4 linked regions of the Saccharomyces cerevisiae S288C genome follow. The gene in region 1 interacts genetically with each later gene. Each region holds a gene or a part of one and is shown in the gene's direction. Other genes may lie near its edges.

Region 1 (7,914 bases):
GTGTGGTTCCCTATGTTATTCTGCTTCAATGATACGATCATGACAGCTGAAGACTTAGAAGTTAGATCACGTGCATTAAACTATATGTTCGATGCCCTAGTGGCATATGGTGGTAAATTCAATGATGATTTCTGGGAAAAGATTTGTAAGAAGTTACTATTTCCTATTTTCGGTGTATTATCCAAACATTGGGAAGTCAACCAATTCAATAGTCATGATGATTTAAGTGTTTGGCTTTCGACCACGTTAATTCAAGCCTTAAGGAACTTGATTGCCCTTTTTACGCATTACTTTGAATCGTTGAACAGAATGCTCGATGGATTTTTGGGTCTGCTGGTATCCTGTATTTGTCAAGAAAATGACACTATTGCTAGAATTGGGAGATCCTGCCTGCAACAATTGATATTGCAAAACGTATCTAAATTCAATGAGTACCATTGGAATCAAATAGGTGACGTATTCGATAAATTGTTTGATTTAACCACTGCTAATGAATTGTTCGATTATGATCCGTTACAGCAAGGAAGAAAATCATCTGTATCTCATCACCAAACAACTAATGATACCAGCCAACACTCAGATGATGATAGCAACGACAGAAGGGAGAACGATTCTAATATCAGTGAGACGGTCGAAAGAGCGCATCAAGAAGAATCCAGCGAAGACGTTGGTGGTGACATGGTTGAAACACTCAATGGGCAAACTAAGCTTAATAATGGCAATTCCGTTCCGACGGTAAAGGACGAATTGAATCCAAAGCCCGCTAGTCTAAGTATCCCCAAGAAAACTAAGCACATGAAACGAAACGAAAGTAACGAAGATATACGTAGGAGAATAAACATCAAGAATTCTATTGTTGTCAAATGTGTTTTACAGCTTTTGATGATAGAGCTGCTCAACGAATTATTCGAGAACGAAGATTTTGCCCACTGTATCCCTTACAAGGAAGCCATTAGAATTACAAGATTGTTGGAGAAATCGTACGAATTTTCTCGTGACTTTAATGAAGATTATGGGTTAAGAACAAGACTAGTAGAGGCTCGTGTAGTTGATAAAATACCAAACCTGTTGAAACAAGAAACGAGTGCTGCTGCAGTTCTCCTTGACATTATGTTTCAGTTGTATCTGAACGATGATGAGAAGAAGGCTGATTTAATAACTCGTCTGATCACCATTTGCATCCAGGTCGTAGAGGGTTATGTTTCTTTGGATGATAGAACCATGGAACGTAGTATCAATGCCTGGCGTTCAGTGATAGTTGAAATATTACAAGGTTACTACGAATTTGATGATGAAGACTTTAGACTATACTGTCCTGCTATGTATGCTCTGGTGATTCAAATATTAGATAAGAGCGTTCCAACGGAGTTGAGACATGCTATAAAACAATTTCTAAGCAGAGTTGGTGAATTATACCTTTCTACTGATTAAGGCTTTGTTGAATGGTCCAGCAGATTAAAATATGCTTAGTTGTAGAACACAGAAAAAATGAGAAGGTTGATATACTTTTACTCATATTAATCCTGATTTAGTGGCGGTGATCCTTTTTAGATTCGTTTAATTCATAAACAAGGTACATCATATAGCAATAACAAATATGTAAACTATGTAGAAAGACTTATCAAGTTTAGCCATTTTGGTCCTCATTCATGGGCATTTTATACTAACTTCATTTTTGCCGAAATAAGAAAGGATGTAATCTTAACCTAAAATATGTAAGCAATTAAGGGCGCACGTAGTCACTTGCGAACAAATAGGAAAAGAAAGAAACAAGCACGGATACTGAATGACTGAGTGTATTACTACACGATTTATCTCAACGAATTTAAGTGTGGAGGACGATCGGCTGCACGTAGGAGTCAACGTTTTTTTACTGTGTTCATCACAAAACCATTAAGCTGAGTCATCCATATTGCAAACAATAAGGTAGCACCGCTTCCATCAAAACACTAGAACATACCGATGTTTTCACGGATTTATTGGAAACAAATAGCAGATGAGGGCGTTTTTACTTGTAATGAAGGCGAATGAGAAGGCAAGGCTTACAGGCTTGTTGTTTATGCCAAGCATCAATACTCGCTATGGAGGAGCGCCATCAGCGATAACAACAAAGTTTGCAAGTGCTTGCTTGGATATAAAAGGCTTGACGCTTAAGATAAATAGGGCCATACTTGCTTGCTTTTACTATTTTTGTTCCTCATAAGCCTGATTGACTACGCTATTATAAACCCCTACATTATCCTATAATCAACTTCACTTGTGTAACGTTGAATGAGTTCAACTGAGTAATACTCGGTCGGAAATATACGCTCCATCTGGCAGGAAACATAGGCTGCATTTATATCTTGCACAATTATGCCCTTCGTAGGTGTATGTTTTCATGTTTTCCATTATGTCAATGTAGATGTATCTTTGGACAGGCAACTTTTGGATCAATAAAGCACAATTTTTGAGCAATTTGAGATATCCAGTATTTGTACGGGAGTCCCAAGATTGTTTAGCCTAAAAGGTTGAGGACTTGGATTATTCTTCCATCAAGCGCCTCCACCCCTCGCATCCTATTTCTTTTGAAGCATAGGGGACGAGACTGTCTGTAATTTATGGCGAAGTATGACAAGAAAGATTCAAACTTTGTTTTACGTATGCCCCAATAAATTCTATGGTAGCACTACTAGAGACGTATTTTGGTTTTGTAATAATTTTCAAACTGCTCGCTATGATTTGTTACAAGAAACAAACAAAAGACACGACCATAGGGTTCATGTTGGTGGTTGCGAAGCCACATCTTTAAAACATTACTGCAAATTCAGCAGGAGTGAGTAGCAAAATCGACAAAAACTAGAGTACGCAACATTCCCGGTCGTAAATTTCTTATCGTGGCGCCAGAACATTCCCGTCCAATGATGAGAATGTCTCTAAAACAAATGCAGTCACAGAGATTTTCTGCGACTTCTCGAGTGAGAATGTTGCTTATTGGTGCTAGTGGCTTGAGATCTTCGTCAAGCAAATTGGAATGCCCCAGATTCTCAAACAAGCACGGCAGAAACTGAAATACGGCCAAAATTATGAACCCTTTTGTGGGATCTTTGTAGAAATAGGACCTCAGGATAGTATGATGAAGAATGTTGGCATGCTATACAATACTACAGTCATTTGCATGAATTGGCTGCTTGTATAGGAATCAGGTTGCGTTGGCAATGATATTCCCATAATAACGTGCAAAAGTCCCTACGGTAGTAGGCTGATCACTCCGCACGTGCGCGCTGAGAGGGTAGAGGCGCCTTCCTTACCTTAGTAACCGAAGAGTGAACTATTTCAGATAGTCTTTATCCTTCTCATGTTCATCTCCACACAATCTCACGCAATCCACGCTATAATATAAAGATACAGGTACGGTAATACCATCCATATCCAAGACAAATCGATTATAAAAGACACTGATTGCAAACGGTGCCTGGCAATCCTGATCAGAAGCACGTTAAATTTATCGCAAAAAAGGGCGAACTGAGATTTTCAAGAGTCGTGTCAATAACCAGTTTCCAATCGGAGCACGTGAATTTGTAACCACTTGTAAACACGATTAAAGACCGTTACTAAATTTCCGCTGAAAAGAAGGAAAAAGAGTATAGTATCATCTGAATCATTCGGTGTACAAACGCCAAGCTCCTGCTTTGTGCTTTTCTAATAAATTGAAATTTTGAATAAAAAGACATTATTTCAGACTACCACTAATAATGTCAGAAAACCAAAAGGAGGTATCGCCTCCTCAAGCCATATCGGTCAAATCCGAGGCAAGCTCTAGTATATTTTCCAAACCTATCTCCACATCATCACCCGCTGGGTTAGCAGCCGCTCAAAGAGTTACGCCCGGGAAACTGTCCACTTTATTACTAGAAATGGGACCATTGGCCATTAGACACATTACACAGACCTTATGCCTAGATATTCCCTGTTTTAAAGATTTATCATCTTCCAAGCAAAGACGACTTATAATGAGTGCTATGGAAAGTGGTGATAAAGAAAAATCAGTGGTATTTGAAAAAATTGGATGGGGTCAATGGTCCGCGAAAAGAGTAGACCCTGCCAACTTTGATAAGGAGCTGGAAGCGACCAATTTTGCAAATGCAAAGGTGAAAGACTTGATTTCTCAAGAGAGTCAAAGAAGGAAAAGCAACAATTCAAATTCTAATTCAGGCGGCAAAGTTGAAATGCCTATGAAAGTTGAGCATAATATCACGAATATCGATGGAGCCACCACCCCGCCTACCGCTGTTGCTTCCACCACCATTCCTGTTAATATCAAACGCAGCAAATCTCCACTTGCAGCAGCAAACGTAGTATATATAGATGAAAATGCGCTAGCATCGGAAGATGAGGATGAGGAGTTTGATGAAGATGACCATCATTTACATTACCAAAACAAATCGAGGAACAGCAGTAATAATTTTGGAAAATCTTCAAATGGTGATCCCTATAGTTTCGGCAGGAGAAGGTCTCAAGTTGTGTTCGCCGATTCAACTCCCGAGAATATTGAGCATGAAATAATAGCACAAAAGATTAGACCGCTATTAAGAAATAGACGCCGTTCGAGCATAAAACCACATACACCTTTCATTTCCAAACTAAACACACACCAAGATTCATCCTACCTTTCCCCCAATACAACCTCAACGACAACCCCATCAAATAACAACAGTAACTCAAACCAGGCGAAGATAGATTTAGAGAAACTTACTGCGACAAGTGAGCCAACTTCAAGAAGAGCTTCTCGTCTGTCTGTATCGAAAGAATCAAGTATTAGATCGACACTTTTCCCAAACAAAAACTATTTGATCGTCACTACAAACCCTAACTCTAAAGCTACGTCGGTTTCCACCTCCCCTAAGCTAGAAGAACAGATGAATGTAAGTTCAAATCCGATAGTATTATCGGACAAGGAGAAACATAGAGTAGCTTCACAACACCTGAATGGGGAATCGTCGCCACAACTTGTTCCCCATTCTCATCATCAACCTCACTCAGATACAGACGAAGAAGACTGGGAATCAATTGGTGCAGCTTCTCTGAGAAATAACAGTTTAGCACCTAACATAGACAGCGTAGCAAGTTCTACTAATGGCGTAGTTAGCCCTAAACCTACAAATCCAAGTTTTACTAACTCTCAGAATGGAGATATTGAGCCTCCCCTACAACACGACCAACAGAAACATGAACAGCAGCCAAGAAATGGGGAAGACAATAGTGCTGCGTTTTTATTAATGAGCTTAAAATCTTAAGAATTCTTTACCAGTTCCATGAAATAACAAAAAAACAGTAAAAAAAAAATGAAAATGAAAAAAGAATACATATTTTGTTTTAATGAAAGTTTGTTACCAAGTTTTGCTTTAAGTTTATCATCTCTGAATAATTATTTTGTCTTTTTTGTCACCACTTTTTTCTTGTCACATTTTTTTCTTCTTTTCATATTCATTTCATATATTAGCCCGTTCAATATATTTCAAAAGACCCAGTATTTTTCACATTTTACCCTTCCGATTCTTTGTGTAGTATATACAAATTACAAAAACACACACTGAGAAAAACATGCACTAATAAAAAATAAGATATTATGTACTAACGTAGGAAAGCAGGTACAAAACCTCTGCTGTAATTTCACGATTTTCTTTATTGATCATTAATTTTCTTCTTTTTTTTTTTTGTATTATGTATAAATGAAAATAACAATAAAAAAGGAAGTAGATGCACGCTGCACCAGTAAAATAGCTACATAAATTTCTAGTCAACAGTGTCGGCAGTATGTTTGACCTCTTCATGGTTATCTCCGCCACCATCACGGTCGTTTAAGGACAGATTCTCCATAGTGGCGTCTTCATGGTCCTGTTCGTATTGATCTTTCAAACTTTGAAAGTCTTTCTCGTTTTCTAAGATCGCTTTTATTCCAATAATGTCAATGTCATTAAACACTTCCAAAAGTTTCTCAGCCTCTTCAATTGGTATATCTTCAAAGACTTTATTAATATTATCCAAATTTTTGGTCATTATGGCTTCTTGCATTTTTTCCGGTATTAAAGTTTTGAAAACTTTAACCTTTTTCATCTCTTCTGGATCTTTAGAATTGAAGTCTGGCAAGTTTACTTCTAATTCTGTAGAATCATCTAGAGATTTCAATTGAATCGTCTCTACTCCTTCAGCATTCGATTCATCCATTTCCTCTTGTTGTAAAATTTTGGAACGTTTTTGAATGTGCAAAAATTTTTCTTGAACTGATCTCAAAAAAGACTCTTTACCCATTGGCTTGTCCTTGTTGAAGATAACCTTCTCGAAAAACATATTAATGACATTTGATAGTTCCATTGGATTTAAATATGGAATTTTCTTCATGTCGTAGATTTCCTTAATGTAGGCCATCAATTCGGATTGATGAATGACTTGCAAAGTCATCTTATCGTCACCATGTAACTGATACTCAAAGGCCTTCATCATTAAGGCGTCCTTTTGTTGTTCTGAAATAATAGGTAAGTGCTCCAGTAAGAATTTCTGAGATTTTGAGTACTCATTAATGGATATTTTACCGAATTCTTCAGTTTCCTTGGCCAGTTTCATAGGATCATCTTTAAAATCGATGAAAGTTTGCGGAACTGATGATTTTGCTAGTTTATTAAGAATATTAGACTCTGCAGCGCTCGAAAGAGCTTCTGAAGGAGTTGCTTCCAGTGGCTTAGCCCCCCCCTTTTGCTTGTTCATAAAGCTACTATCAAAGCCTGTATGAATGTCTTCAGATGAAATGTGTGCATTTTTCTCCTTGTATAATTCATCTAATTTCTTCTTAGCCTCTACAGTTACTGAATCGATCTTAGCCCTATGTTTCAAAATAGCATCCCTTATGAGAGATGGGCTCTTCGAGTCTTTGCCCTCTTTGTCTAAATCTTTTGCTAATTGTTCAAAAAGATCTTCAACCATTTCATTGTATGTTGCAATCTCAGGATCAACATTTTCCCCTTTACTTTTCTCCATCTTATCAAAATTTGCATTCAAGAATTTGGTAACGGCTGGCAAATCAGTAAGAGAACTTTCAGGTAAATTACTCAAAATTCTGTCCACTCGTTTGTTCAAATGAGAATACATATCCACTTGTGTCTCCAAATTTTTGATATCTTGGTTCCTTTTGAATCGCTGTTCATGGATACTCTGTTGTTTCCATTTAATGAACGATTTCTTGTCCACATTAGGATGCACCTCGACATCAGAATCATCTGATAGTTCAATTTTATCCCACTTAGAGTAATCAATGGCCATTTTTGACTTATGTAGTTGTTCCGTAGTACGATAGCTCGATAGTTTTTTTATCGTGATGAAGTGTTGGTGCAACGGAGGTGTTCTCTTATGTGGCAATCTTTCATGATCCTTCAGTAAAAAATCGTGAAAAACGGATGTTCAAAAAGCGTGTCAAATTTGCGTGAATAAGTGCTCTAATCAATCTAATAACGAATCGTGTATTTAAAAGAGTTGCATACTGCTACACTATATACATATTTCATTTCCATTTGTTAGCCACTAACGATAAAAGTCTGGGCGACCTATATTGAGCCCGTATTCAGCAACAGCGCTACTGAGATCGTTCACCGTCAGAACAACTTTGCTTGCTGTAGTCTTCTCATTCTGTTGATGTTGTTGTTGTGAAATCTGCTGCACGCCAGGCTGTTGCTGTCCTTGCAATAGCTGCCTAGCTCTCGCCTGACTGTTGTTAGCATTAGATACCGCTACGGAAGACCTGATCCTGGAATATTCGTAGGCATCCTTAGCTATATCACTAACAAATTTCTGAGTAGCAAGTGCTAAAAGTCGTTTCACTCGTACATCTGCTACGTTAAACCCGTTTTTGGTTAAATAGTAGTCTATTACTGCATCGGGAAT
Region 2 (8,029 bases), on another chromosome or scaffold:
AACATAATAGGTTCAGATGGCAACATTTATGGGATCATGTGTAAGAAGGAAGATGTCCGACAAGATAACCAATATATGCAGTTCGCCACAACAATGGATTTTCTTCTGAGTAAGGACATAGCTTCAAGAAAAAGAAGCCTGGGCATAAATATTTACTCCGTACTATCTCTTCGAGAAGACTGTGGGATATTGGAAATGGTACCGAATGTTGTAACTTTAAGATCTATTCTTTCTACAAAGTACGAAAGTCTGAAAATTAAGTATAGCCTGAAAAGTCTACATGATAGGTGGCAGCACACCGCAGTAGATGGAAAACTCGAGTTTTACATGGAACAGGTAGATAAATTTCCTCCAATCTTGTACCAATGGTTTTTAGAAAACTTTCCTGATCCAATCAATTGGTTCAACGCCAGGAATACGTATGCCAGATCTTACGCCGTCATGGCAATGGTTGGCCATATATTAGGTCTAGGTGATAGGCACTGTGAAAACATATTACTAGATATACAGACGGGTAAAGTTCTTCATGTAGACTTCGACTGTTTATTTGAGAAAGGCAAAAGGTTACCTGTCCCAGAAATTGTTCCCTTCAGACTAACACCAAATTTATTGGATGCGTTGGGCATAATTGGGACAGAAGGAACATTTAAGAAGTCTAGTGAAGTCACGTTGGCTTTAATGAGAAAAAATGAAGTAGCGTTGATGAATGTGATCGAAACAATTATGTACGATAGAAACATGGACCACTCAATTCAAAAAGCGCTAAAGGTCTTAAGAAACAAAATCCGCGGTATAGATCCGCAGGATGGCCTGGTATTGAGTGTTGCTGGCCAAACAGAAACATTGATCCAAGAAGCAACATCAGAAGACAATCTAAGCAAGATGTATATTGGTTGGCTTCCATTTTGGTAACGACTTTCCACCATTTTCGGCAACAGACGAACTTCCTCTTGATCTAACCATCACTGCAGGTGCTTTTCTCCGGCGGAGTTAATAGATACTTATCCCCGCTTCATGTCATACTATCTCTCTTAACAGGGATGTTGACACCATATAAGTTAACATAACATATACGTACGTAATAATATTAAGGACTATCTCGCATTTCAAAAGAGAAACAACCTAATCAAGCCTTATTATAAGAGCAAATTATTCAAAAAAAGTCTACGGAGAAAATTATTATGGTGGTTTTAGACAAGAAGTTATTGGAAAGATTGACTTCTCGTAAGGTTCCCTTAGAAGAGCTCGAAGATATGGAAAAACGATGCTTTTTGTCTACTTTTACATATCAAGATGCCTTTGATTTGGGGACTTACATAAGAAATGCAGTTAAAGAAAATTTCCCCGAAAAACCAGTTGCAATTGATATCTCCTTACCAAATGGGCATTGCTTGTTTCGCACAGTGACCTACGGTGGCAGTGCATTGGACAATGATTTTTGGATCCAGAGAAAGAAGAAGACAGCGCTTCGATTTGGTCATTCAAGTTTCTATATGGGCTGCAAGAAAGGTGACAAAACACCGGAGGAAAAGTTTTTTGTGGACTCAAAAGAATACGCTTTCCATGGAGGTGCTGTCCTAATACAATCGGAGAGAAGTGACTACCCCTATGCCTGCTTAACTATAAGTGGATTGAAGCAGGAAGAAGACCATTTAATGGCAGTCAGCTCTTTAATTGCATTTGCTAATGAAAGTCTAGAAGAAGATTTGAATTTGGATTGAGAATGTAGGTAGAAGTAAAATAGAGGCTTGAACACCATAGAATATTTTTTACCCGTTACTAGTATAACTGTTATTTAGTCGTAAGCTTTTCATATATATATTGATTGTTTTGCCCTTGAAAAAATACACAGCACCAATGCAGTCCTGTTTGTTTTAGTGATCTCTTAGCAATGTATTTTCAAGGTTGAAAATTTAAACGATCACTATTTTGATTGCGTAAGAAATGCGGAAGTAAACCATTTATTCTCCACTTCCACTTCAATTTTCTTCTTGCTTCCAAAAACCAATTCATTGATTTAGAGCCCATTGCATCTTTATTAAAATGATGTTTGATTGACTTATCATTTTCTAGCAATTGCAACTGCAATCGTTCTATTAGTTCCTTAGAGAAGCTGTCCTTTTTTTTTGATATTTCCTTTTTAAGGTCGATCTTGTTATCTTCTATGTGCCTATTTATTTTTTTTGGAACATCTGTCGATAAATGAAACGGTTCTGCTGAATTCTCTAGATCACTAAAAGTACCGCTGCTTAGATTTGATTCATCCATAGATGATTCGAACTCGCAGTTCTCAAAGATTTTAGCGGCTTCTTCATATCTAACTGTGCATTGCTCACATACAATTTCTTTATAGTATCCTGAATTTAAAAGTCTCGAGCTAATTTCATATAGGGCCTTTTCGCAGATGACACATTTCCTCAGTTGGGAATGAACATTTAATTCCGATAGATAAAGATCATCGTAACTTTTATTGGAAGATGGAATATTAACCAAGTTAACCACCATATTTTCAATGGAATTTGGTATGGAAATATCACTTATTTCAATTTCCTCTTTGATAAAATCTAAGGGGTTGTTACTTTCGTCCCTATTTTCTTCAGTATTCCTTAATATATGGGGTATCAGTGTTAGTGAATTCGGTTCAAAGCTATTTCTATTGGTTTCCTTATTAATTTCAGAATATGAATTTTTTACTCTCAGCGGGATATGATTATCTCTTCTTTTACTTAGTTTTGATTTCAAATCTGAAATAGATACCATTTTTTTTGTTGATTTACTTTGGGTATACGGTATGTAGTCTTCAACCAGGACTAGCGGTGGTATATCCTGAGAAGTATTTTCTGTTAGCTCGTAGTTTTTTGTATCTAAACTCGGCCCATAACTGACGTACCTATTACGTTTGTTGTTATGCACTCGCAGTTCATTTACAGGATTCAACCTGGGCCGTTTTTTATTGTTGTTGTATTCGTTGTTTCCACTGTCATCTTCATTAGTTTCGATATTGCATGGAGGCGCAATTGGCAAAGACGTAAAGCTCTTGTCATCAATTAGATCTAATTTGGAAACAGATTGGTACAATTTGGATGGAATTTTAGGCTTGGCACCTATCAATTGTGAGCGACGCTTTCTTACATTCAATAACTGTTGGTTCTGATTTTCACTTTGACTATTGCCTTGGTATGGAGAATTTCTCTGCAATGGTTTTGCCTGCTTCGAAGGAGTGCTGTTACTATCGAAGATAAATTCCTTCTTTTCAAATTGCCATTGTAACATGGAGTTATTCTCTATATCCTGGACGACTGGAGGAGTCAAGGGCCTGGAAAGTACGGATCCTGTAGAAATATCACTGGCAATTATACTGAGTTTATTGTTGGTGTTGCTATTCATATTTGAGCTGGTATTGGACGAAAGCAAGGATAATGAGTTTGTGTCTACTGACTCCAACACCCTAGGCTGGATTTGATCTTTCTCCATCCTTTAATTTTAACCTTTTAATTAGTGGTTGGATCAAGTTTTCGAGACTATTCCAATCTGTGACTTGTTGGATAAATAGTTTTTGACTCGTTTAGTATAATCCTTTTTTCTAAAAGTGCTTAGAGTTCTCTAAGATGTTCTTGTTTACAATGTGAGCGATTTAGGAAATTTCCTAAAAATGGCCGAGGCGGCGCTAGCATTCTACGAAAGGTGAGATAACGCTTCGTTATCGAAAAATGTCAGGGGACAGGGGTTATATAAGAACGAAAATTGTCATCCTGCATTTTTTCTTTAAAACAGCTATACAAAAAGTGATACCGACATACAATGAAGTATCTAAACTTAGTTTTCGTGCTTCAGCTTCTTATTAGCATCAAATACGCCTCATTCGGCCGAGCCTTTTCTCTTTTTGAAGATGATACCACCTTTGCCAATTTGGATAAACAGCTAAAGCTTCCACAGAATACACAGCAAACCCTTAAATTGGACCGTTTGAATCACGATGATCCGCTGTTTACAACTTTTATTTCTTCTGTGGACACAGATTACAGTTTGAGACTTAGAACAGTAGATCCTTCTAAACTAGGAATTGACACCGTAAAACAATGGTCGGGTTACATGGACTATAAGGATTCCAAACACTTTTTTTACTGGTTTTTTGAAAGTAGGAACGATCCTGCTAACGACCCAATTATTCTTTGGTTAAATGGTGGACCTGGTTGTTCCTCGTTTACTGGGTTGCTATTTGAACTAGGCCCCTCATCAATTGGCGCCGATATGAAACCAATCCACAATCCCTATTCTTGGAATAATAACGCTTCAATGATCTTCTTAGAACAGCCACTCGGAGTCGGCTTTTCCTATGGTGATGAAAAAGTCTCCTCTACAAAATTAGCAGGCAAAGATGCGTACATTTTCCTGGAATTGTTTTTTGAAGCTTTTCCTCATTTACGCTCCAACGATTTCCACATTGCAGGCGAATCCTATGCAGGACATTATATCCCTCAAATTGCACATGAGATCGTTGTCAAGAACCCTGAAAGAACGTTCAATTTAACTTCAGTTATGATTGGTAATGGTATCACAGACCCTTTGATTCAAGCAGATTATTATGAACCAATGGCATGCGGGAAAGGGGGCTATCACCCTGTTCTCTCATCAGAAGAATGTGAGAAAATGAGTAAAGCTGCAGGTCGTTGTCGTAGGTTGAACAAGTTATGTTATGCTTCTAAATCAAGTTTACCATGCATAGTCGCCACTGCTTACTGTGACTCTGCACTTTTGGAACCGTACATTAACACAGGACTCAACGTCTATGACATTAGAGGGCCCTGTGAAGATAATAGTACTGATGGTATGTGTTATACAGGTCTCCGCTATGTCGACCAGTATATGAATTTTCCTGAAGTTCAAGAAACGCTAGGGTCCGACGTGCATAATTATTCTGGCTGTGATAATGACGTGTTCACCGGATTTTTGTTTACGGGCGATGGAAGTAAACCATTTCAACAATATATTGCTGAATTATTAAATCACAACATTCCGGTATTAATATATGCGGGTGATAAGGATTATATTTGTAATTGGCTGGGAAACCATGCTTGGTCCAATGAGTTGGAATGGATCAATAAACGTAGGTATCAGAGAAGGATGTTAAGACCATGGGTCAGTAAAGAAACAGGTGAAGAGTTGGGACAAGTCAAGAACTATGGCCCTTTCACCTTTTTGAGAATATACGATGCCGGTCATATGGTGCCCTATGATCAACCGGAGGCAAGTTTGGAAATGGTCAACAGTTGGATTTCCGGTAATCGTGCTTTTTCGGATCTTTCCACCTTGGAAAATGCTAGTTAGTAGTGCTCTAAAAATGTTTCACTCTTAACCTTGCAATCATTATACTTTACACAAATCTCTACGTTTCATTTAATTTAAAATCTACAATCCAACAAATATAAAACAAAATATAATTATAAGGAAAAACGTATATAATCACTGCAATACTCTAATTTAAAATTAGGAGCACGACATTCTTGCCAGTATCATTGTTGCTAATCTTTTTCTCTCATAAATTGCCACTTGATGTTCACCCTCTCCTTTTAACTTTTCTATATGTTCCTGATCAAAAATATCCAGAGGCTTCACAACTGACAAGCCTCTCTTTTTTAAAAGTTCGACCATTTCATCATTAAATTCCTCTAGGTAATTAAACTCACTGTGTGTAACAAGCATCCCAATCAATTCAAAAGAGACAGCAACCGCTTCAGATGATTGTTCTAGGGTTGATAACCTCCTGAATTCCTTTCTAGTCAGCGTATAGAACCTGAATACACAAATAGGGTTGACTTTGAGCAAATACCTCATCAATAGAGCAAAACGGAATTTACATGGTTCGTCTGACATAACACAGCTAAACAAAAGTGCTCCTTGGTATAAGACTATATTAGATTTATCTGAGTCTGAACTTAGCCAGTTGATCAAAGTAAGTGGCACTTTTAGTGTATTATTTAAAGGTACCAGTTCATCTTCGAAGCCGACTTCAAGTAACAAGGTAGAAAGTTGTTCAGGACTTAAGACCAAATGGAGTAAGAAAAGGTAACAAAGATAATCGGAGGATTTTGGGTTGGACTTTCTTTCGTAATATGTATTCTTGAAAAGGGCCTGTAGACAATCTAATGCGGCTCCTTTTACGACAGGAATGGATAAACCGTTTGCAATGAAACCTAAAATAATATGAGGAAAATTATCTTCGTTCCATATGCATCCATTGTATGACTCTAACTTAGCCAAAAGCGTAGCAGCAAAATTTCTAGATTCCATTAATTTTTTGGCTAGCGATTTGCCATCGAATCCAAGTTGAAGATGGACCGTGTACAGTCGCTTCAAACAATTTACCATGAACAGGAGACCACCTTCAAAGAGTAAAGGATGAGGGGATTCAACACATATTGTAGCAAGCCAAAATAGCTCTTTCATTAATTCTGAAGAAGGATCTAACCCTTCGACAATTTTGCTGTAAGTAAAGACATGAGCTATAATGATGAACATTTGTTCATCATCCACAACTGGCTCTGCGAAGACCTTCATGGTTTCAACTAAAAGTTCTTTACAAAGGAAAAGGGACGTGTGCGACTTACTCATTATACCTAGAATCATCATAGCTCTCGCAGAGAAGAACGACCGATGGCCAAAAATCGCATCCATCAAATATTTCTTATATTTTGCCTCCCATTGTGCACCCTCTGAAATAGAACCATATTCCATCAATAGCATAATGTTTTTAGTGAAGAGATCTAATGTTCCGAATTTACTGGAGAAGGAGGAAGCGGCAAAATTTGGTAAAACTCTACCTTTTTCTTGGCTAAAACCGGAGATAAAGTTCAACTTTTGACGTGCGAATGTTGCACAGACGATATCCAAATTTTTCCTATTCCTTTCAGGTAAGGACTCATTGTTGGTTAAAGAATGACAAACATTCATCAACAACTCGTACAATGAGACTCTTATTTCCGAAGGACCGACATCAATTAACAGAGACACAGCGAAAAGAATCTCCGGTAAATACATCTGGGAAAGTAAGGGTGATTCAAAGAAAATTGACACACTAATTTTTGATAAAATAGTAAGCTCAGACCAACTGTGTGCGGAAGCCTCAACTGCTAGAGAAGGTAGAAAAGATTTGATCATATTTATTAGCTTCTCTATTACCTGACAAGCAATCTCTGTCGTTGGAAAACTGGTTAGTATTGACACAGCTTTCATCCAGTCTCTGTTTTCTGAATCTCTATCCAGCGCATGACTTACTATTTCTTCAACTATCACGTTCGTGAGACGACCATCCAATGCCAGTAAAAACCAAATCTGTTGAAGGTAAGCTGTCGTGAAATTTGGCTCTTTGACCGTCAACCTGATTAAGCTATAGATTATACGTGAAATCGCCTCTGGTCCCTCTTCGTCATTTGCCAAATATACATGTTCATATAAGTTTGGTACCCAGTATGACAATGAACAGACAACCGTAGGAATATGTTCTTGAGGAATCACGTCGTTTTCAAGGCCATCCAGCATATATTTCCATATATATGGAGTTAGTTCCGTTGAAGATTCTGAAAAAGCCTTGAAAATTAGGGCCAAGAACGTGGTGGTATCATCGGGTACATATGTCTCTGGGGATTTGTGAAGCCTTGTCCCAAAATCTAAATTAAATGCTTCTTGCGTTGCCACGAGAAGGTTGTATGATATGTTTTTGACGAGATCATCCTCATTGAATAAACCTACAAGGATCACCAATGACAAATGTGATATAATTTCACCAACTTCTTTAACATTGCAGTAAGAAGCATTAACTGCTGAAGAGGATGTTGAAAATGAAATATCGTTCGAAAAATCCGTACCAAAGTCTTCTTCCATCTTTAACTGGGCATAATAAAACATTTTCACAATTTCTAGGTACTTCGGACTGCAAAATACCAACTTTTCTTCATTATCAAGACTTAACGTAAATTCCGAGGAAACGCCTGTGGTGTTAGAGACATCGACTGAAATTAAATTTGATATC
Region 3 (7,580 bases), on another chromosome or scaffold:
TAGATTGGTACACAAAAGCACGGGCAGAAACTTGCACACCCACCCAGTTGCTGCACCAGTGTCAAAGACACAATGGGAGGTTTCTGGTTACGGTGACAATGTTGTTGGTGACAACAAAGACAATTGGGTTATTGAGATCATGGACCAAAGAGGAGATGAAGACCCTGAGAAGTTGCACACATTGACCACCTCTTTCCGTATCAAGAACTTGGAGATGGGCTGTTACTTGGCTCAAACCGGTAACAGTTTGCCCGAATGGGGTTTCAGACAACAAGAGGTTGTCTGCATGAAAAACCCATTCAAGAGGGACAAGAGGACCTGGTGGAACATCGAGACCCACGAAAATGAAAGGTTGCCACCAAGACCCGAAGATTTTCAATACCCAAAGACCAACTTCTTAAAAGACTTCATTCATTTAAATCTAGCCATGATGGCCACTAATAACGCTTTGGTGCCAGATCCAGACAAATTTGATTACTTAGCTTCCTCAGCATGGCAATGGCCAACTTTGAATGTGGGTTTGAGACTATGTGGCTGGGGTGATGATAATCCAAAATACTTCCTATTGGGTACCCCAGCTTCCACGTGGGCTTCTAGTGTTGCCGTCCTCGCATTCATGGCCACGGTCGTTATCTTACTGATCAGATGGCAAAGACAATATGTGGACCTAAGAAATCCATCTAACTGGAACGTTTTCTTAATGGGCGGGTTCTACCCACTACTAGCTTGGGGCCTACACTACATGCCATTCGTTATCATGTCTAGAGTCACCTACGTTCATCATTACTTGCCTGCCTTGTATTTTGCACTGATCATTTTGGCGTACTGTTTCGACGCCGGTTTGCAAAAATGGTCCAGATCTAAGTGCGGCCGTATCATGCGGTTCGTCCTATACGCCGGATTCATGGCACTTGTAATTGGTTGCTTCTGGTACTTCTCCCCAATATCATTTGGTATGGAGGGACCAAGTAGTAACTTCCGCTACTTAAACTGGTTTTCCACTTGGGACATTGCCGACAAGCAAGAAGCATGAATTAAGATCATCGTAGTAAGTACATAAGTAAAAAACAAGAATTAAATAAAATTTCTATATCAACCAGCAGAAGAAGTGGTCTATATAAACCACTATATAATGAATTTCGATAAACACTCTTTAATTGTTAACCAGGCTGTTCTCCTTACTCATCTTTGCGATCCGATGCTGTTTTATTACCCTTCTATTTTTTCCTTTCTGCATTTTGATTTTCGCGAATAATGAAATTCTTGATCTTTTTATCAACAATGAAAAAAAAACTGTAAACAGAAACTGATAATTTCTTGAACCCTTTAGCCCACCCCAACCGTACTCGTGTTATTCGCTCGTTGATTTACGCGAACCTTTTTGTTTGCTTTACATAGCCTCTAGCCATTCAAAGATTCGCTACCCTGAACCATGGAAATATTTAGCCAGAAAGATTACTACCCGACTCCATCCTCAAATGTTATTAGCTATGAAAGCGATTGTGTATCCAAACCAGTGAATAGTGCAGACCTGCCCGCGTTAATTGTACACCTTTCTTCCCCTTTGGAAGGTGTAGACTACAACGCATCTGCAGATTTTTTCCTTATTTATAGGAATTTTATAACGCCTCAAGACTTACACGACTTACTCATCTATAGATTTCGATGGTGTATTAGGGAGATCACAACAAATGCTGCAAAAGCTAAGAGAAGGCGAATTGGTGAAGTTGCCCTCGTGAGGACGTTTGTGTTGTTGAGGCATTCCATACTGAATTATTTTGTGCAAGATTTTTTACCGAACATAACATTAAGACTTCGGTTGATCGAGTTTCTAAACGACAAACACATTGAACAGTACCCAAAAATAATTTCCAGCTGTATAATCAATCTGAAAAAAAACTGGGTGCATTGTTCTAAGTTGGTTTGGGAGAATATTGAACTAAATGAACCTGATAAATTAGACTTTGATGCATGGCTGCATTATTCGTTAAAGGATTTCACGCAACTAGAAAGCCTACACAAAAGAGGAAGCCGACTGAGCATTTACGCCAGGCAAAGTTTTGCCAGTCCTGATTTTCGTAACCAAAGCGTTTTATCATTATATAAAACTTCTGATGTATTTAGACTGCCGGAGAAGCTACAGTCTTCAAATTCTTCCAAAAACCAGAGAAGCCCTTCTATGCTTTTATTTCCCGATAATACATCAAATGTTTACTCGAAGCACCGAATAGCGAAAGAACCTTCAGTTGATAATGAAAGCGAGGACATGTCAGATAGTAAACAAAAGATCAGCCACTTGTCAAAAGTCACTCTAGTATCCACACTAATGAAAGGCGTAGACTACCCGTCATCATATGCAGTCGATAAAATAATGCCTCCAACACCGGCTAAAAAAGTTGAATTTATTCTGAATTCCTTATATATTCCTGAAGATTTAAATGAACAAAGCGGAACGCTTCAAGGTACATCGACGACATCATCTCTAGATAACAATAGCAACAGTAATAGTAGATCTAATACATCTTCAATGTCTGTGTTACATCGCAGCGCTATTGGTCTTTTAGCTAAGTGGATGAAAAACCATAATCGCCATGATAGCAGTAATGATAAAAAATTTATGAGTGCTATTAAACCAGCAAACCAGAAACCTGAAATGGATGCGTTTGTCAAATACGTTGTATCAATATCATCTCTCAATAGAAAATCTTCCAAGGAAGAAGAGGAAGAGTTTCTTAACTCTGATTCTTCTAAATTTGACATCCTAAGTGCAAGAACCATAGATGAAGTGGAGTCCCTACTGCATTTACAAAACCAGCTGATAGAAAAAGTTCAAACACATTCGAATAACAACCGAGGTCCTACAGTTAATGTTGATTGTGAACGTCGGGAACACATACATGATATAAAGATTTTACAACAAAATAGCTTTAAACCGAGTAATGATAATTTTAGCGCTATGGACAATTTGGATCTGTATCAAACCGTAAGTTCAATTGCTCAGTCAGTCATCTCTTTAACTAATACTTTAAACAAGCAACTGCAGAACAATGAATCGAATATGCAGCCATCACCCTCGTATGATGCACTGCAACGAAGGAAAGTAAAAAGTCTCACGACAGCATATTACAATAAAATGCACGGTAGCTACTCAGCAGAAAGTATGAGGCTCTTTGATAAAGATAATAGTTCTTCACGTACAGACGAGAATGGACCTCAAAGATTGTTATTCCATGAAACTGATAAAACCAACTCAGAAGCGATTACAAATATGACACCAAGGAGGAAAAATCATTCCCAATCCCAAAAAAGCATGACTTCTTCGCCTCTGAAAAATGTTCTACCTGATCTTAAAGAATCGTCTCCCTTAAACGATAGTAGGGAAGACACAGAATCAATAACATACTCATACGATTCCGAGTTGTCATCCAGCTCTCCACCCAGAGATACTGTAACGAAAAAGTCAAGAAAAGTCAGAAACATCGTGAATAATACAGATAGTCCAACTCTAAAAACAAAAACTGGATTTTTAAATCTAAGAGAGTTTACATTTGAAGATACCAAGTCTTTAGATGAGAAAAAGAGTACTATAGATGGCCTTGAAAAGAATTATGATAACAAAGAAAATCAGGAATCAGAATATGAGAGCACAAAAAAGCTGGACAACTCACTCGATGCATCATCAGAAGCCAATAATTATGATATAACTACAAGAAAAAAACATTCATCTTGCAATCACAAGATCAAACAAGCAGTTGTAAGACCGGCTAGTGGAAGGATCAGCATTTCAAGAGTTCAAAGCATTGCCATAACACCAACCAAAGAGTTATCCATAGTAGATCCTGAGCAAAACAAGTCAAACTCAGTTATAGAGGAAATAAGTGAAATAGAACCTCTCAACCTGGAATATAATAAAAAAAGCGCGTTGTACTCTGATACATCGTCCACCGTTATCAGTATCTCAACGAGCAAGCTTTTTGAATCTGCTCAGAATAGTCCTCTAAAACAAACTCAAAATCCACAGAGAGAATTTCCCAACGGGACCAGCGTGAGTGAAACCAATAGAATCAGATTATCCATAGCACCCACAATAGAATCTGTTGTAAGTGATTTGAATTCGATTACCACTGGTAGCACAGTTGAAACTTTCGAAACGTCCAGAGATTTACCAGTGCCACACCAAAGGATAATAAATTTGAGAGAAGAATATCAAAGGGGTAATCAAGATATAATCTCAAATACTTCTTCATTGCATGAGTTAAAAACAATTGATTTAAGCGATTCCAATAATGACCTAGAAAGTCCAAGTACCCATGCGAAAAACAACAAGTATTTTTTTTCACCAGATGACGGTAGCATTGACGTTGCTTCTCCAATGAAAAACGTTGAAGAGCTGAAAAGTAAATTTCTGAAGAACGAGAGTGAAACTAATAGTAACATATCAGGAAGTGTATTGACAATGGACGATATCGACATTAATGACACATCTAGTGCCCGGAACACACGGAGAGCAAACTCTGAGTCGGCTTTTACAGGCTCCTTGAATAAGAAAAATTTAAATGAAATTGCTAATATGCTCGATGATTCAATTAATGACGATCCAATAACCGTGGCATTAATGAAACTGGAAGGTACATACGAGAAAATTCCCGAAAAACCAGAGAACACCAAGAGTAGTGACGCTATTGGAATTAAAACGAGCAAGTTAGCAGATGAAGTGGAAATGCTAAACCTTAACAACTTGCCGTCATTCCAAAATAGCCCCGCAGAAAAAAGAAAATCGTTATTAATAGAAAGAAGGAGACAAACTATAATGAATATCCCCTTTACTCCAGATCAATCCGAGAAGGAAGGCTTTACTTCCTCCTCTCCTGAAAAAATAGACGTGTCAGCTAATGTTGATGTTGCTGTGCAAGCGGCGCAAATCCAGGAATTAATCGGTCAATACAGGATTCACGATTCGAGATTAATGATTTCTAATAATGAAAGTCACGTTCCATTTATACTAATGTACGATTCCCTGTCTGTAGCGCAACAAATGACCTTGATAGAGAAGGAAATTTTAGGAGAAATAGACTGGAAAGATTTATTAGATTTAAAGATGAAGCATGAAGGCCCACAAGTTATAAGTTGGTTGCAACTACTAGTAAGGAACGAGACCTTATCTGGCATTGATTTAGCTATATCCAGATTTAACTTAACTGTGGATTGGATTATATCAGAAATACTTCTTACCAAGAGCAGCAAAATGAAAAGAAATGTCATTCAAAGGTTTATACACGTTGCAGACCACTGCAGGACATTTCAGAACTTTAACACATTGATGGAAATCATTCTAGCCTTAAGTTCTTCAGTTGTTCAAAAATTCACTGATGCATGGCGTCTGATTGAACCAGGCGACTTACTGACTTGGGAAGAGCTAAAGAAGATTCCCTCGCTAGACAGGAATTATTCTACAATAAGAAATCTACTTAACTCTGTGAATCCACTGGTGGGTTGCGTCCCTTTCATCGTCGTATATCTTTCGGACCTATCAGCAAACGCAGAGAAGAAAGACTGGATCTTAGAAGATAAAGTAGTGAATTACAATAAATTCGATACGAACGTTCAAATAGTCAAGAATTTCATTCAAAGGGTTCAATGGTCCAAGTTTTACACTTTCAAAGTTAACCACGAATTGCTGAGTAAGTGTGTTTATATTAGCACATTAACACAAGAAGAGATTAATGAACTATCCACATGAGGTATTGTGCCACTTTCCTCCAGTTCCCAAATTCCTCTTGTAAAAAACTTTGCATATAAAATATACAGATGGAGCATATATAGATGGAGCATACATACATGTTTTTTTTTTTTTAAAAACATGGACTCGAACAGAATAAAAGAATTTATAATGATAGATAATGCATACTTCAATAAGAGAGAATACTTGTTTTTAAATGAGAATTGCTTTCATTAGCTCATTATGTTCAGATTATCAAAATGCAGTAGGGTAATAAACCTTTTTTTTTTTTTTTTTTTTTTTTGAAAAATTTTCCGATGAGCTTTTGAAAAAAAATGAAAAAGTGATTGGTATAGAGGCAGATATTGCATTGCTTAGTTCTTTCTTTTGACAGTGTTCTCTTCAGTACATAACTACAACGGTTAGAATACAACGAGGATATGTCCGACGAAATTGTTTGGCAAGTGATTAATCAAAGTTTCTGCTCTCATAGAATTAAGGCACCTAATGGTCAAAATTTTTGCAGAAATGAGTATAACGTCACTGGGTTGTGTACAAGGCAATCATGCCCACTTGCCAACTCCAAGTATGCAACAGTGAAGTGTGACAATGGGAAACTGTACTTGTATATGAAGACGCCTGAAAGAGCGCACACTCCTGCCAAGTTATGGGAAAGAATCAAACTATCCAAAAATTACACGAAGGCTTTACAACAGATCGACGAACACCTACTACATTGGAGCAAGTTTTTCCGTCATAAGTGTAAACAGAGATTTACAAAATTGACGCAGGTCATGATAACAGAGAGACGTTTAGCATTAAGGGAGGAGGAGAGACACTACGTTGGTGTAGCACCAAAGGTCAAAAGAAGAGAACAAAACAGGGAGAGAAAGGCATTGGTAGCTGCCAAGATTGAAAAAGCCATCGAAAAAGAATTGATGGACAGATTAAAGAGTGGTGCTTACGGTGATAAACCATTAAATGTTGACGAAAAGGTCTGGAAGAAGATAATGGGTCAAATGGAAGAGGAGAATTCTCAGGACGAGGAAGAAGACTGGGATGAAGAAGAGGAAAGTGATGATGGGGAAGTTGAATACGTTGCAGATGATGGCGAAGGTGAATACGTTGACGTGGATGACTTAGAAAAGTGGTTAGCTGACTCTGACAGAGAAGCTTCCAGCGCCAGTGAAAGCGAAAGCGACAGTGAAAGCGAGAGCGACAGCGATAGTGATGAAGAAAATAAGAATTCAGCCAAGAGACGTAAGAAGGGAACTAGTGCCAAAACTAAACGTCCTAAAGTCGAAATCGAATACGAGGAGGAACACGAAGTTCAAAATGCTGAGCAAGAAGTGGCACAATAAGCTCACGCACTATACTACGCAACATTACATGATTTCAGTTTCTATTATTGAATGAACAGGATTTTTCCACGTGGATTGGGCAGCGCACTGTACCATAATAACAACCAGTTATAAAATATTTCAATTCTTTTACATATATAAAAATACATAAAGACTATTATTTTTGTAAGATGGCCCATTCTGTAACACTTAAATTTCTTATCAAAAAAAAAAAAAATAATACCTTTAGTAGCTGTTGGGCTAATAACATTGCAAATTAGAAGCTTACTATTAGAAGCTTACTATTACGGGATTATTGAGGTAAAGGTTATTTGAAGCGTAAATCACTGAAATCTTCCTGATCACGTGATTGGCTTTTTTTGCCAGAAAACCCAAATCTGTTTAATGCCACTAAGTTGAAGAAACATATAATCAACAATTGTTGGCAATTCTAAGGGGAATAGTGCAACAAGAAGCCAGTAACGCCAAATAGAGGTTAGCGCCAAGCAATAATTTACTGG
Region 4 (7,407 bases), on another chromosome or scaffold:
AACTTCAGTATACCCTTCCGCCTTTTTTCTTTCCTATAAACCTTTCTTGTATCCTTTTTGTCAGCAGTGATTGTGGGATAACTTTCAAGTATTGAAGCGGGAAAATGAAACGCAACTTAAGCCACACCACGTAATTCTTGAAGACTTTTGATGTATGATATTTATTTCACTGTTAAAAAAAGCTATAATTTCCTCTAATCAAAACTCTCTAAAACGAAATCAAAAATATTCGTAACACATATATAACGAAGTACAATATATTGGGAATCTATAAATCATATGCCGAGTGCGCAACTTCAACTGAAAACAATAATCCGTCTCTGGGCCAGAAAAAAAAAAGGAAAAAAAAGCTTTATTTCTTAATAAGGTGCTTTAATTTTTGAAAGGGAAGAAGCAACCATTTCCCAAAATATGGTGCTCCCCAGATACTAATGAAAATGCGTACCGGATATAGTAATTTTACTGTAACGTAGGCTACTGTGCCAGATAAAATCAACTTGTTTTTGTTGAGGCATTCCTGATATCTCTTACCAACAAATTTCTCCATAGCTGTATGACAGCTATCCATTAGGCCATTTAAGAAGTTTGGGAGCTTAAAATCATCAGAAAGATCGAGGTTATAAAGTAACCACCATAGTAGAAACAGTGGTAGTATGGCAGTTACCTCATGCAAGATGAAGAATGATGTAAGTGTTGGAACCGTGCCGGCCTCACTGAGGCGGTCGAAATAGTGTGAAAATTTAGGATTCTTGTTTAACCTTGTTAAAAGTCGTGACTTGGAAAATATTTTACGTAGTCTATCCTCCCTTCTTTTCACTGGATCTAAATTTCCCGATATGAATCTAATTTGGGTTGATCCGCCGGGCCTGGTGTTCATAAACGTGGTCAATTGCGTTGGCCTTTTAAGCATGAGCTCCAACGGTCCAGAGCCCATCTGCAGTTGACAGGGCCTGAAGAAAAGATTCATGACAGTCATGTTCCTGGTGAGGGTGCCTTGGGTGTAACACTTATCCTTACACGGTCTCTCAAAAGCAATATTTTTACATTTCTCTTCTTTGCTTCCTGTTCGTATAACGCGCTGAGAGCTGGTAAGAACAATAGGCCGAGGCCCTGCATCAAAATGTCAGTAGGGGACCTGTTAGGTACCCACTAATAAGTACAAGAGGGTTTTTATTTTCTAAGAGCCAATAATTGGCATTCTTTATATACAGGAAAGGTACATGTCATTCAAGACATGAGATGATCCACAGCTTCTTTACATCTGTCACACAATTTATCCTCTTCGGCTGAGTTGGCCTTCCAACATCTGGGACAGTTGTGCCTTTTGCTTCGTTCAACCAATATTTGAACGTTTATTCCGCTTCCCAATTCAATAGTTGGTAGACTGTTATTATTATCGTCCATTTGCAATATATCAACAGCAGATGATTGCAATATGTCGCAAAGCTCGTCAGAACTGAATGGGAGGTGATGCTTGGTGAAAATGGTAACGTGACTATGTGTTGTTTTGGTGACACCTTCTTCTAGACTTAACCTCTTGAATTCCTCCTGGAACTGTTTTAGAATTTTTAGTTCAAAGTTTTCAAAGGAGGTGACGATTTCCGTATTTGAGTCCAAAAACGGCCATTTTCCACGCATCGGATTAATGTCTATATGTTCTTGTCCTTGTAACCATCCTTCTGGTATATACTTCCATACTTCTTGGACCATAACGGGTAATATTGGTGCAAGAATTGCCCTATATGCATTTAGTATATGGACAAGCGTTGTTTGGACCTGCCTTCTTGCCAATGACGATATTTGGTTGGAATATAAAATATCCTTTGAGATATCAAAATAAAACGCCGATAGCTCGTTATTTAAATGATATTGTAGAGTAATGAGAACCTTGGAAAAGTTGTACTTTTGGTAGTGTTCTCTCGTCGTTTCCAGCAGTTCGTTTATCTTATACAAGGTATATTGATCAACACGGCGTAATTGTTCAATCGGCAAAAGGTTGAAATCTTGGGACTTCTGTAAATTACTCAATAAATAGCGAAAAGTTAGTCTAACCTTTTTTAGAGCTTCTCCTACATGTTTCATCACAGTCGGGCCAGCAACTATATCAGTTGTGAAATTCGATTGTGCTATCAGATACCTCAAGCCATCAACACCCAAAGCTGGTAAGCCTAAGTTTTCATCGCCTCGAATTATTGCTTCGGGAGAAATTGTATTTCCCACAGATTTTGACATTTTCAGACCATTCTCATCTAGGGTAAAACCATGAGTAATCACTTCTTCATATGGTGCAACAGGGACATTACTTGATGCTACTTTTGTTAGCAGTGAACTTTGAAACCATCCTCTATGTTGATCAGATCCTTCTAGACAAACTTGGTACAGGGGGGATGGGAGTTTTGACAACTTTAAGCTTTTTTCATAAAAGTCTTTGATCACACTCCATGACGACCCACTATCAAACCACACATCCATAGTATCTTGAGAACGACAGTATTCATGCGCTACGTCGTGATATTTTTCTGGCAACCATTCTTTCATGTCATTATCTTTATCGTTAAACCATGCATTAATTCCTTTTTGTTTGATTTTTTCTATGGCATGTGCCAAAATTTCTGAATTCATCAAAACAGAATCCGGTTCGCTCTTCTTGTAAAAGCTTAATATAGGGATACCCCATGAGCGTTGCCTAGATATGCACCATTCATTTCTGCTTTTCATAAAGGATGAAAGTCTTGAATAGCCTCTTTTAGGACAAAACTTGACGCGGCTGATGCTTTCCAGAGCCAAGTTTTTTACATCGTGTAAATCTGCAAACCACTGTGGAGTAGCTCTTATTATGACAGGTTTCTTGGATCTCCAGTCGTACGGATAAGAATGCGTGTATTCGTGAGATTTGTAAAGTAAATTAAGGTCGCTTAACTTACATAGAATGATTTTCGCGGTTTCGGCATCCAATACTTGCCTACCTTTTGTTAAGTCTCCTTCATCTCTCACGATGGATCTGACGGACTGAGGAAGTTCATTTAATTGGTAGCGGCCCTGGTGATCCACGGGAGAATAAATTTCAAGACCATTTTGAATACCAATGAGATAGTCATCCTGTCCATGCCCTGGTGCTGTATGAACCAATCCAGTCCCTGTACCGCTGGTAACGTGTGCACCATGTAATAAGGGCCTGCCAACCTTATCGTCTACTAAGAGGTTTTGATAATATAGCCCATTTAGATGAGTTCCTTGAAACTGTTTGATAGTCTCAAATGAGTTAGTTGTTAGGCCCAATTTATCAATGGAGCCGGTCTCTACAAGGATAAGTTCACTATTTAAGCGTAATAGGGAGTAGGAAAAATCCTGATTGAAACAGATTGCTCGATTAGAGAGAAGAGTCCATGGAGTACTGGTCCAAATCAAACAGTATATAGGCAAGTTATTCGTTATTCCTAGTTTTTTGCACAGATCCATCTGGGATTTCTTTTCAAGAGGAAATTTAACATAAGCAGCGATGGATTTATGGTTTTCATTATATTCTAATTCGCCCTCTGCTAACGCTGTTCTAGTTTCTGTACCCCAGTAAACCGGTTTGTTCTGTCTCTTAATCAGTCCTCTTTCGTACATTTCTTTAAAAATATTTAGCTGATTAATTTCATAGTCTTTATCCATTGTTAGGTATGGTGTTTCCCAGTCCGTTAAGATGGCAAAATGTTGGAAAGTTTCCCTTTGCCTCTTGATTGCCTTTTGTGCATGTTTTAAAGCCATTGACCTGATTTTTAAAGGCGATATTGACTCGATCTGTTGCGCGCTTAAATCTTTCAAAGCTTTAATCTCGATGGGTAGTCCATGACAATCCCAGCCAGGCTTATAAAAAATGTACTTCCCCTGTGAAAGTTGATATCTGTTTATGATATCTTTCAGAATTTTATTTAGAGCATGACCGAGATGGAGCTCGCCGTTGGCATAGGGCGGTCCATCATGTAAGATGAACAACTTTTCTTTAATGAACTCTAATTTTTCATCAGTCGTATTAAGCTTTGAAAATTCTTCGAAGAAATCACGTAGCTGCTCCTTGTAAACTAACTGCGAAGATTTTGGTATTAATTCCCTCAATGTAATCTCTAAGTTTGATCTATTAGGGAATTTGGTCTTGGGCAAGTTTAATGTTTTTTGGTAGGCATGTTTGGCGAGATATCGCTTGCTAATAATGCTAAAGATATGTTGAGGCACAAGCCTGGAGCGCTTCATAAGTAGCTAAAGATCGTTCTTAGTATACTGTGTTCCATAACTTCTAGCCTTGGTCCTTTATATTTGCTGTTTTTCTGCGTTTCTTAACTCGCTTGCGGAAAAAGAATCGACATTTTCAGAACAGGATTTTATTGTTTTTAAAGTACATTATATGGGGCGACACATCATCGCCATCTATGTTAAATATTTAAAGAATACGGGGTAGAATTATTCACGCTGGGGGATGCTGAAAGAGGAGTATAATTTGAGCGGTGCTGATAACATGGCATCTGCTGAGTTGTCATTTAAAAAGCAAAAAGTGGTATTGAAAAAGTTCATGATAGCGCAAGTGACTAAGGGGATTATGCAGCGGTATGCGAGCCTATTAGTTACCATGCCTAGTGATGATGACAATGCAATTATTGGCACAAATCATTTGAAAACAACCAAATTTTTAGAAATAATCCTACACAGAGCCAAATCATCGCATTTACAGTTCAAAAAGGTCTGTTGCATTGTCATCAAGTTTCTAGATTGCTGCTCGAAGGAAACTAACTACATGAAGTTTTTAAAGTTCAGCTTACACAAACTATTTGTAGCTGCTTTCATCTTAAGTGTGCCAAATGTTGTAGGCGATGACCGCGACAGGATTACCACGAGGGATGAAACCTATCATCTCTATTCCCAGATAACAGGCTTGCCACTGGAAGAAGTGATAAATTGTTGTTCTATTGTGAGGCCTGTACTTATTCGGCGGAGTAGACAACAACGCAGGCAAATGTTATCTCGACGTGAACAACATTCGTACTTCCTCAGAAGTTCTTTTATGAACTCCAATTCATCAGCATCACCTTTTTTCTCTACCAATAGGTCAGCTGATGATCTACATGTACATACAAGGGCATACTCGCTTCATAGCCATTCCGATGGGGAAGGCCAAGATAGGCGGTCGGAACATGAAGAAACGCATAGCATGGGGGCTGATGCCGATACATATCGACAAACTACGTTTATCCCAGACACACCAAATGGTTTGCATTCTAGATCATTAATTGAGTGTGGGATCGAACCCACCCAAGTAAGTGACTCTGGTGAATGGTCGGGTCAAAGTAACGGATATGTTTTGGTGACAGAATTACAGGAGTTTAACAAAATGGGTAAAAAGTTAGTACAAGAAGCTTTTAGGATAGTTTAATAAAGTATGGTTTGTCGTTTTGTTCATCATTCAAGGGTCATTTTTATTTCCATTTATGATTTCTTGAGTACAAAAGGCAAAAAAAACATGTATAATTATACACAAGAAAAAAAAACAAAACAAAAGAACACTTTCACACAAGCAAGTATATATTATGAGAATTTTTTCGAGTCTTACAGAACCATATCTTGCCTCTAAATTTTAGTCTAAAAATTTTGCTAGCCCATCAATTTTTTTTTTGTTCTAATGCAAAATATAACATGGGTAAGAAAAAGAAAAAGCCGTTCCTCAGTACGTAAAGAGATTTGATCATTAACAAGTTGGGCTCAATATACACAGTCGATAGTCTATATGTGCATATGAAACTGGCGCAAGACATGAATGTAGATGAAATATTTCTCAAACAAGCGGCAGAAGCTATAGCGGTAATCTCATCAAGTCCCACTCATACGGACCCCATAATACGAGAGCTACTCCACAGAATTCGACAATCCAGCCCATTGAGCGCAGTTATACCAGCACCAGAAAATGTTTTAAAGGCTGGGGAGCCGGAAAATATGGCTAGAGGTCTTATAAGGATTCCAGAAACACAAACAAAAAGAACAGGAGGTAACAACCATAGCAAGGAAGGCGCACAGCTCTACAGCTGTGCGAAATGTCAGTTGAAATTCAGCAGAAGTTCTGATCTGAGAAGACATGAAAAGGTACACTCACTCGTGCTGCCGCATATTTGCTCAAACTGTGGCAAAGGGTTTGCCAGGAAGGATGCTCTAAAAAGACATTCTAACACACTGACCTGTCAAAGAAACAGAAAGAAACTAAGTGAAGGTTCAGACGTTGATGTAGATGAGCTCATCAAGGATGCGATAAAGAATGGTACCGGCCTGTTGTAAGGCTAGAGGAAAACGTATTTGTCTCCATCAGCACACCTACACATACATATATAGATAGATATATACTTTAGCCATTGAGATAAGTAGAATAAAAAAACGTTGTAATATTCCGATACAGTTAGTGACATGTTCTCTACTTTTGCCAATTTTTTGCGCACAAAGTGGTGACGTACAAGTTCATCATTTCACGTGTGCAGCATAGTGTGGTATATTGTTTTTTTATATTTTATTTTTTATTTTTTTTTTTTTGCAGAAAACAGTGTTTGTATTATATGCTTTAGATATGCTAAAAAAAATGAAAAAAAATGGAACAAAATATGTGTTTTTTTATTTAACGTTAAAATTAAAGATTAAGTTATTTATTCGACGTCAGCATCAAAAGTTTGACCTTCAACTAACTCTGGAATAGCTTCATCCTTCTTTTCAGCATCAGCTGGAGCCTTGGCTTCGTGCTTTTCCATTTGGGCAGCCAATTGAGACAAGGCTTGGATGGCTTCAGGGCCCAATTGAGAGATAATACCTGGGAACAAATCTTGCAAGTTCTTTTCCTGTGGTAGACCGTAGAATACAGAAGTGTTGTGTTGAGCAGCAACTTGGACACCGACCTTGTTGAAGTGCATGACCTTACCGTCGTCCTTGAAAAAGTTGGCTTCGGCGACGTTGTCAATGGTGACAGCGTGCAACTTAGCTAATTGACTTTGCAACTTGGTGTCATCCTTGTTGGCACCGGCAGAAGAGCCTGCCTTCTTGTTAAGCTTTCTTCTAGTACCACCAACTTTGTTGTTAGCAGACAACTTTTGTAGCTTAGCTAATTTTTCTTGGTCAATTGGCATTATGAATTATGAGTCGCGTCTGGTGTGAGATGTTCTATTCTTAAACCTCCCTAGAAAGAATATTCGCTCTCTTGTGACAAAGGAGGGGTTACTACTTAACAAGCAATTGCAGCTGTTTCCACTACGAAATCTTCCAATGTCAACGAAAAAAATTCAAAAATTTTCTGCTTTTTTTTTCAACATCTGCCGTACTAAATGATTCCACAATAATCCATCATATACCATTACCCTGATTCCCATCGAAGAAAAGGCGGTGTCCCCTTACCCGTCC

The links.
Region 2: mutations in STB3 (region 1) and ATG42 together harm fitness more than expected from each alone (negative genetic interaction), as found in Saccharomyces cerevisiae (one large-scale study listed by BioGRID).
Region 3: mutations in STB3 (region 1) and MAK16 together harm fitness more than expected from each alone (negative genetic interaction), as found in Saccharomyces cerevisiae (one large-scale study listed by BioGRID).
Region 4: mutations in STB3 (region 1) and YPL039W together harm fitness more than expected from each alone (negative genetic interaction), as found in Saccharomyces cerevisiae (one large-scale study listed by BioGRID).

Annotation. Positions count from the first base shown.
Region 1 is NC_001136.10:789,710-797,623, reverse strand, and holds STB3 (Stb3p), read left to right. Parts: upstream 1-3,734; coding exon 3,735-5,276; downstream 5,277-7,914. Other genes in the region: Arf family guanine nucleotide exchange factor SEC7, read left to right, coding at 1-1,431; YDR169C-A (uncharacterized protein), read left to right, coding at 2,901-3,050; Hsp90 co-chaperone CDC37, read right to left, coding at 5,776-7,296; TAF10 (Taf10p), read right to left, coding at 7,555-7,914.
Region 2 is NC_001134.8:511,863-519,891, forward strand, and holds ATG42 (carboxypeptidase C), read left to right. Parts: upstream 1-3,801; coding exon 3,802-5,328; downstream 5,329-8,029. Other genes in the region: protein kinase MEC1, read left to right, coding at 1-912; YBR137W (uncharacterized protein), read left to right, coding at 1,182-1,721; YBR138C (uncharacterized protein), read right to left, coding at 1,900-3,474; GTPase-activating protein IRA1, read right to left, coding at 5,488-8,029. UniProt on the Saccharomyces cerevisiae protein: Vacuolar serine-type carboxypeptidase involved in vacuolar zymogen activation, breakdown of the autophagic body, and autophagosome-dependent protein synthesis.
Region 3 is NC_001133.9:99,725-107,304, reverse strand, and holds MAK16 (ribosome biosynthesis protein MAK16), read left to right. Parts: upstream 1-6,159; coding exon 6,160-7,080; downstream 7,081-7,580. Other genes in the region: dolichyl-phosphate-mannose-protein mannosyltransferase PMT2, read left to right, coding at 1-1,033; mitotic regulator LTE1, read left to right, coding at 1,433-5,740.
Region 4 is NC_001148.4:474,766-482,172, forward strand, and holds YPL039W (uncharacterized protein), read left to right. Parts: upstream 1-4,459; coding exon 4,460-5,410; downstream 5,411-7,407. Other genes in the region: MRX11 (Mrx11p), read right to left, coding at 353-976; isoleucine--tRNA ligase ISM1, read right to left, coding at 1,228-4,236; YPL038W-A (uncharacterized protein), read left to right, coding at 5,417-5,608; MET31 (Met31p), read left to right, coding at 5,770-6,303; EGD1 (Egd1p), read right to left, coding at 6,663-7,136.